2 linked regions of the Xenopus tropicalis genome follow. The protein of the gene in region 2 purifies or fractionates together with the protein of the main gene of each other region. This does not show direct contact. Links are inferred from orthologs where the notes say so. Each region holds a gene or a part of one and is shown on either strand. Other genes may lie near its edges.

What was found. The genes of interacting proteins can lie anywhere in the genome.
Region 1: the proteins of fibronectin type-III domain-containing protein 3A (region 2) and tent5c purify together in Homo sapiens (affinity purification with western blotting; 3 studies listed by BioGRID, with this or other methods). This does not show direct contact. The link is inferred for Xenopus tropicalis from reciprocal best matches to the Homo sapiens genes FNDC3A and TENT5C.

Annotation. Positions count from the first base shown.
Region 1 is NC_030678.2:2,821,809-2,825,933, reverse strand, and holds the start of tent5c (terminal nucleotidyltransferase 5C), read right to left. Parts: upstream 2,801-4,125; 5' UTR 2,718-2,800; intron 2,606-2,717; exon of another isoform or gene 2,499-2,605; intron 1-2,498. UniProt on the Homo sapiens protein: Catalyzes the transfer of one adenosine molecule from an ATP to an mRNA poly(A) tail bearing a 3'-OH terminal group and enhances mRNA stability and gene expression.
Region 2 is NC_030678.2:149,087,038-149,090,550, forward strand, and holds part of fibronectin type-III domain-containing protein 3A, read left to right. Parts: intron 1-842; coding exon 843-981; intron 982-1,196; coding exon 1,197-1,265; intron 1,266-2,130; coding exon 2,131-2,249; intron 2,250-2,901; coding exon 2,902-3,007; intron 3,008-3,128; coding exon 3,129-3,304; intron 3,305-3,513. UniProt on the Homo sapiens protein: Mediates spermatid-Sertoli adhesion during spermatogenesis.

The sequences.
Region 1 (4,125 bases), about 150 Mb from region 2:
CTCAGCAGAGGGCAACTTGCCAGTTACAACCATTGGCCCGGTGGATGCCAATTCGTGCACCAGCTAGAAACACGGGCACAGCATGGAAAACTGAAGGGACCACAAACTATTTGGTGCCCAAACTGCACACTCAGTTACCTGCACTACCCGTGTGTGCCCCCTGGCAGGGCAATCATTAGGGTAACTAGGGAGCTGCCATATGGCAGCACAGGGCAGTGTGACACGGAGCCAGGAGGGATCCCAGCGAGCAAATACTCCCAGAAAGCCCCTCCCTCCCACACAGCAAACACAGTAACCTATTATAGACCCATGGGGGGCAGGGAGAAGTGCAAGCTCTTTGGGGCAAGTCACAATGCAAAATTATTAGCCGCAACACTAGTTACCCTGCAGTAACCCACAGAGTGGGCACATCGGTGCCACCTCCCACACTGGGACCAGGCAACCAGTTACCTAAATCCCTGTCATGGGCAAGTGGCGACTGTAGAGTCAACTCCCAGCAACCCCCTCCCACAACTCCCAGCAACGCCCTCCCACAACTCCCAGCAATGCCCTCCCACAACTCCCAGTACTGCAGCATGCCCGTGTCAGGGGGGGGCCCCCCCCGAGAGGCAGTTACTCATGCATGTTATAGCCCCCAGCCCAGGGGCCCCTCAGCCAGCCCCCAGCCCAGGGGCCCCCCAGCCAGCCCCCAGCCCAGGGGCCCCCCAGCCAGCCCCCAGCCCAGGGGCCCCCCAGCCAGCCCCCAGCCCAGGGGCCCCTCAGCCAGCCCCCAGCCCAGGGGCCCTCAAAAAATGAAGCTGTACCCTTACAGAATATGGCCACATGGGACTGGGATAACCCCCCCCCCCAGAAGCACATGGATCTGCCCCATGTTAAGTGCCAGCCGTTACATACCGACAGTTGCCCCTCCACCCCAACCCCCCCCTCCCCATGTGCCCCCCAACAAGAACTCTCCCATACCCAGCTCAAAGCCAGCCAACCCTCTCAAACAGCCCCCCAGTACACTGGCTATACCAGCCCCACAGCCCTCAGTAACCCCCCCCCCCCCATCTGCCCCCCAGTACACTGGCCTATACCAGCCCCACAGCCCTCAGTACCCCCCCCCCCCCCATCTGCCCCCCAGTACACTGGCCTATACCAGCCCCACAGCCCTCAGTACCCCCCCCCCCCCCCCCCATCTGCCCCCCAGTACACTGGCCTATACCAGCCCCACAGCCCTCAGTACCCCCCCCCCCCCCCCATCTGCCCCCAGTACACTGGCCTATACCAGCCCCACAGCCCTCAGTACCCCCCCCCCCCCCATCTGCCCCCAGTACACTGGGCTATAACAGCCCCCCCCCCAGTACACTGGGCTATAACAGCCCCCCCCCCCCCAGTACACTGGCTATAACAGCCCCCCCCCCCCCCCCCAGTACACTGGGCTATAACAGCCCCCCCCCCCCCCAGTACAACTGGGCTATAACAGCCCCCCCCCAGTACACTGGGCTATAACAGCCCCCCCCCCCCAGTACACTGGGCTATAACAGCCCCCCCCCCCCCCCCCCAGTACACTGGGCTATAACAGCCCCCCCCCCCCCCCCCCAGTACACTGGGCTATAACAGCCCCCCCCCCCCCCCCCCAGTACACTGGGCTATAACAGCCCCCCAGGAACCCAGTGGCCCCAGAACAGCTGTTCTACTTTAGTTCCCAGAATTCCCTGCACTTAAAACTTTGGCCCTAAAGCAGCTGCTGGACTACAACTCCCAGAATTCTCCCCCCCAAAGCCCTACATTGGCTGCTGGACTACAACTCCCAGAATTCTCCCCCCAAAGCCCTACATTGGCTGCTGGACTACAACTCCCAGAATTCTCCCCCCAAAGCCCTACATTGGCTGCTGGACTACAACTCCCAGAATTCTCCCCCCCAAAGCCCTACATTGGCTGCTGGACTACAACTCCCAGAATTCTCCCCCCAAAGCCCTACATTGGCTGCTGGACTACAACTCCCAGAATTCTCCCCCCCAAAGCCCTACATTGGCTGCTGGACTACAACTCCCAGAATTCTCCCCCCCCAAAGCCCTACATTGGCTGCTGGACTACAACTCCCAGCATTCTCCCCCCAAAGCCCTACATTGGCTGCTGGACTACAACTCCCAGCATTCTCCCCCCAAAGCCCTACATTGGCTGCTGGACTACAACTCCCAGAATTCTCCCCCCAAAGCCCTACATTGGCTGCTGGACTCCCCTACAGCTGTTTAACTACAACTCCCATGATGCCCTGTCCCACGGCCCGTATAACAAACCATTGTGCCTGTGAGTAGAAGTGCCGCCAAACTACAGCTCCCAGCATGCTCAGTATAACGGTCCCCAGCCGGACCCCTTTCCCACTAACACCCCCGTTACCCGGCTACACTGGCCTCATACCTACCCGTAACCCTCCCAGACAGCTCCCGGCCGGAGACACCAAGGACTTCGGTCCCACAAGAAGTGAAAGATTCCCCCGAGCCTGCGGCACCTACCTGGGGTAGCGGGTCAGAGCAAGCGGTGTACAGACTGGCAGCCAAAAGTCTTCAACTGCAGCTTCTCTCTCCGCTGACTGACTGACAGCCGGCCCTGCTTCCGCTTTATATAGTGGCGAACTATCTCAGCGACTGCAGATCCTTCCGCCCTTCTCACCCCATTGCTCTCCCGTTGCCCCGCTGCCGCTGTGTGACTGACAGCCCGGGGGGGGTACTTACCCAATAACAGACCTGTGCGGGGCATTGCCTGCCTGACGCAGGGTAAATTCTACAGGCAATTTCTCTCACTCGGATATGTGCTGTGCTATCGAAACATTGTACCGTATCCCTCCGCCTTTTCTACTTCTGATTGGCTCCAGGCATGAATGGTTGCTAGGAGACGGATAAATAATTGCAGGGATCTTGCGTTTCAAGGCCAAGAGCGGCCACTTCCTCATATCGGATTGAATCGCATCGTATCGGATTGCATTGTATTGCAAGGGCCCGTGTATCTGTCACACTATAGGTCCTCCGTTTTCCCATTCACTCTGACAGGGAAGGTTTTCAAACTGCCGCCAATCCTACAGCTTTGGGGTTACCCCCCCCCCCCCAAACTGGAATCACATAGTCATGGGGTCAGCCTGAATGTAAATAGGGTGATTGTTGGATGCCCAAAAGTGGGCGGAGCTACAAACAGCCAATCAGATTTTACCTGGAGGAAATCCAACCTGGTGCCATCAGGGTCAGACTGGGGGGAGAGGTCGCCAAGCGGGTGGATCTTCTCCCAATATCTCCTACAGGTGGAGTTCCCTGTATAACTCAGCCTGCAGCCTTGTGCCTTTATATGGGGGGCACAGAACCCCTCAGTGACTGCTAATATCCTTATCATTTACAGTAGGGGGTACATTATCCCTTATAATACATGAGTGATACTCAGAGTTCCCTGTATAACTCAGCCTGCAGCCTTGTGCCTTTATATGGGGGGGCACAGAACCCCTCAGTGACTGCTAATATCCTTATCATTTACAGTAGGGGGTACATTATCCCTTATAATACATGAGTGATACTCAGAGTTCCCTGTATAACTCAGCCTGCAGCCTTGTGCCTTTATATGGGGGGCACAGAACCCCTCAGTGACTGCTAATATCCTTATCATTTACAGTAGGGGGTACAGTATCCCTTATAATACATGAGTGATACTCAGAGTTCCCTGTATAACTCAGCCTGCAGCCTTGTGCCTTTATATGGGGGGCACAGAACCCCTCAGTGACTGCTAATATCCTTATCATTTACAGTAGGGGGTACATTATCCCTTATAATACATGAGTGATACTCAGAGTTCCCTGTATAACTCAGCCTGCAGCCTTGTGCCTTTATATGGGGGGCACAGAACCCCTCAGTGACTGCTAATATCCTTATCATTTACAGTAGGGGGTACATTATCCCTTATAATACATGAGTGATACTCAGAGTTCCCTGTATAACTCAGCCTGCAGCCTTGTGCCTTTATATGGGCACAGAACCCCTCAGTGACTGCTAATATCCTTATCATTTACAGTAGGGGGTACATTATCCCTTATAATACATGAGTGATACTCAGAGTTCCCTGTATAACTCAGCCTGCAGCCTTGTGCCTTTATATGGGGGG
Region 2 (3,513 bases):
TTCACCTTGAATATACGTCATAGCACACAGGCCTTAGAAAAGAAAAAAACAACAGCTTCCATAAATATAATATTTATAAGAGCATTTATGTAATTATTCCCTAGAGTTTCTCCCTCCAGGGTAAATTACTCACTGCAGGTATAATGCTTTATATAAGATAAATTATGACACAGTGAGCTATTTTCCTGTCTGTGTGTGGGCTGCCTGCTATCCCATTTAGCATTTTACCACTTGGCTTTGCCCCCCACCCCCCCGATTACATCTAAAATGCCGTTTTGTTAGTAAAGAGGTGCAAAAGACACATTACATGTCCTTTATTACCCAAGGAGTAGACAACTTACCTCTTAACAACAGCTCTCCTGGCACCCAGCACCCCAGATTGGCATGATTGGCATTCATTTAAGTTAAATATTATTCTAATTATACTTTACCTTGCAAGCTTTCAAGTGGGGGTCACTGACCCCAACTGCCAAACAAAAATTGGTTTGTGGGTGTACAATTGTGTTATTATTGTTACTTTTTATTACTTTTCGTTCTGTTCAGTCCCTCTCATATTCATATTCCAGTCTCTGATTTAACCACTGCCTAGTTGCTAATGTAAAGAAAACCCTAGCAACCAGATAGGTGCTACCAATCTGGAGAGCTGCTGAACAAAAAGCTAAATAATTATAAAACCATAAAAAAATGAAAACCAGTTTGAAATTGTATACATCATACTACAGGGAAATATAAAGGAGAGCAAACCCTTTCATCTTTTCCAGGCAACAGTAGACTTAAGGGTAGAATGCTGAATACTATTATATAATTAATGATGAGAAAATATATGTTGTTGGTCATTGCAGGTCATTGCATATAACACTGAAGGCAAGAGCAGCCCAAGTGAGGTGGTGGAGTTTGTGACTTGTCCAGACAGACCAGGAGCACCCTCAAAGCCTTCTGTCAAGGGAAAGGTCCATGCACATAACTTCAGGATAGTATGGGGTATGTAGAGCCCATATGTTTAATGATTCATTGGCAGCTTATGAAACAGTCTATATTGCACTGTTTTTCACTGGTCATTAGTAGTTTACATAAGAGGAGGCCTAATTTGTTTGGGGAACAGTATTCTGACCACTCTTATTACTTTCCTTGCAAATGGGGACAACACAACAAATGGTAAGAGTAAGCTCTAAACTGGAATTTGTTGGTTTTTATAGATCCACCTAAGGACAATGGAGGAGCAGCAATCACAAAATACGTTATGGAGATGTCTGAAGACAGCAATGGTATTCATCTTTTCCGCCAGTTTACATATTATCAGGCATGGAGATCCATGTAGAAATTGTACTTGTAATGTCATTTTCTTTTTTTTTCTGCCAAAAGAAGAAAGTTTTGCAATTGACCATTTAATTTTGTTATTAGCCTTTCTTATTCTTTGCTCTCCAGATTGTTTGGGGTTTTTTTTTTAGTTATTTCATAGGCAAAACACATTTTAAATATGTCTTGTTTGTTTTCTTTAATACATGTTAGTAGTTTAATTTAACTCATTAGAGCACATGGGAAAAAGTAGTAGCATGAGTTAAACAGAGTAGCAGAAGCATACTGACCATGTACACAAACACAAATGCCATTCATTGGTTCCCTCCATAGAGAATACCACTGGATTATTCCTAGCATGTACTATATCTGGCACACTGAAATAATAATTCTTTTTAATATAAAGGTACATTGTGTGCTTAGAAATACTATTAAAGGTTATCTCCCTGCAACAGTACATCTACACAATATGTTTCTATGCTCTCTTTTTCATTCACGCTTCCCCTTATCTCAGCTGGTTGTAGCGCATCCGAGCTATTGCTATTCAGTTGTTCCTTATCAGGCCAGTGTCTGCATATTATTCACTCTAAAAGCAAATTCTTTGTTACAAATACATATGGTAAGTGCCTGAGATCTTTACCGAGACAGACCTTGGAAGTTGGTTTTGGATGCAGTACTTAAGAGTTTATTTAATCAACTGCAGGAAACCGTTAGCAATCTTTCCATATTTCATCTCTAAACAAATTACTAGGAGACTGGTATATAGAAACTAGGAGACCAAGATGTGCAGAACACAGTCAAAAACTGATCAGACATTAATGATTAATCCTGCAGGAAACAAGTGGGATGTCGTATACAGTGGAACAGCTCGAGAATACCTGTGTGACCATCTGAGTCCAGGCTCTTCTTATCGCTTACAAGTCCATTGCATCAGTGATGGAGGGAAGAGTCAGGTAATGTCACGTACCTTGCAGTCTAAGCATCCAACTTTGTGGGACTATGGTCATGGGAGCTAACAGCACGTGTGTTTATTCATAGCCTTAACCATATGCTATAGGACTACTTTTAATTATAATGCAAAGTTAAAGTGAAAAATTCCTAATATATTGTCATTGCAGCTTTCCCTAAGGTAAAGGTATTTACCCCACCCTGCCTTGTAGTACAACATTTATTCAGGCTGCCCTCTAGATCACAACAGTCCTATAGATGCAAACAAATATAGTTAAGCTTGGCACCTTATTGTCCCCTGTGTGAGGCCCATATCTGTCCAAAAAACAGGCAGATGTTGATCAGGCAGGTTTAATATTCCCATTGAGACAAGGAACATTGGCTTATTGATGTAGTCCTCACCCCGACAGCCTGCATCCTGTCAATGTGATCTGATTCTTCGATCTGAGGTCCGACTTCAAGCTGGGCATGTTGGGGAAAGATCCACTTGCTTGGCCAAATGAACATGTTTTTTTTTTCCATTTGTGGCAAGCTTAACCTGATTCAGTATATTAACAATGGAAAATTTCTTTGATCAATTGTGATTTACTATATTATTATTATTACTATAATGGCAATCACAGCTATAATGTACTTTTGTGTTTAATGGCTCTTTAGGTATCAGATACACTGTTAGTTCAGACTCCAGCGGTGTTCCCTGGGCCATGCCAGCCCCCCAGGCTCCAAGGCAGACCAAGAGCAAGAGAAGTGCAAATGAAATGGGGTATGAATGAATGAGGTTTTTTTTTTTATACACGTGTCTTCTTGCTTACATAGAGATGTAGCAAAGCTTTCAGCTGTGGCTTTCCAACATTTTCTGACTTTTACCTTCTTATTTTTAACAGCACCACCGCAGCTTGATGGTGGTTCCCCAGTCACGTGCTACAGCCTGGAGATGTCGTCTTCTGATGCCAGTGAGCATAGAGAAGTCTACCAAGGACCTGAACTGGAATGCACAGTGGCCAGTCTTCTTCCAGGGAAGGCGTACAGCTTTCGAGTGCGCGCTGCAAACAAAACTGGGGTACAGTTCTGCTACTGTCATTTTTCTAATTATGCAGAGAACACTGGATTCTGTAAACTAAACTTTGGCAAGGATTGTACAGTGTCTCAAATCCATTATTCAAAGCAAAATAAATATTGCATCATAGATTTTACACATAATTTTAGTTTATTGTGGTGCAGTGCAGAAAACATTTTGTTACAATACAGGATGAATTGGTGCAACAACGC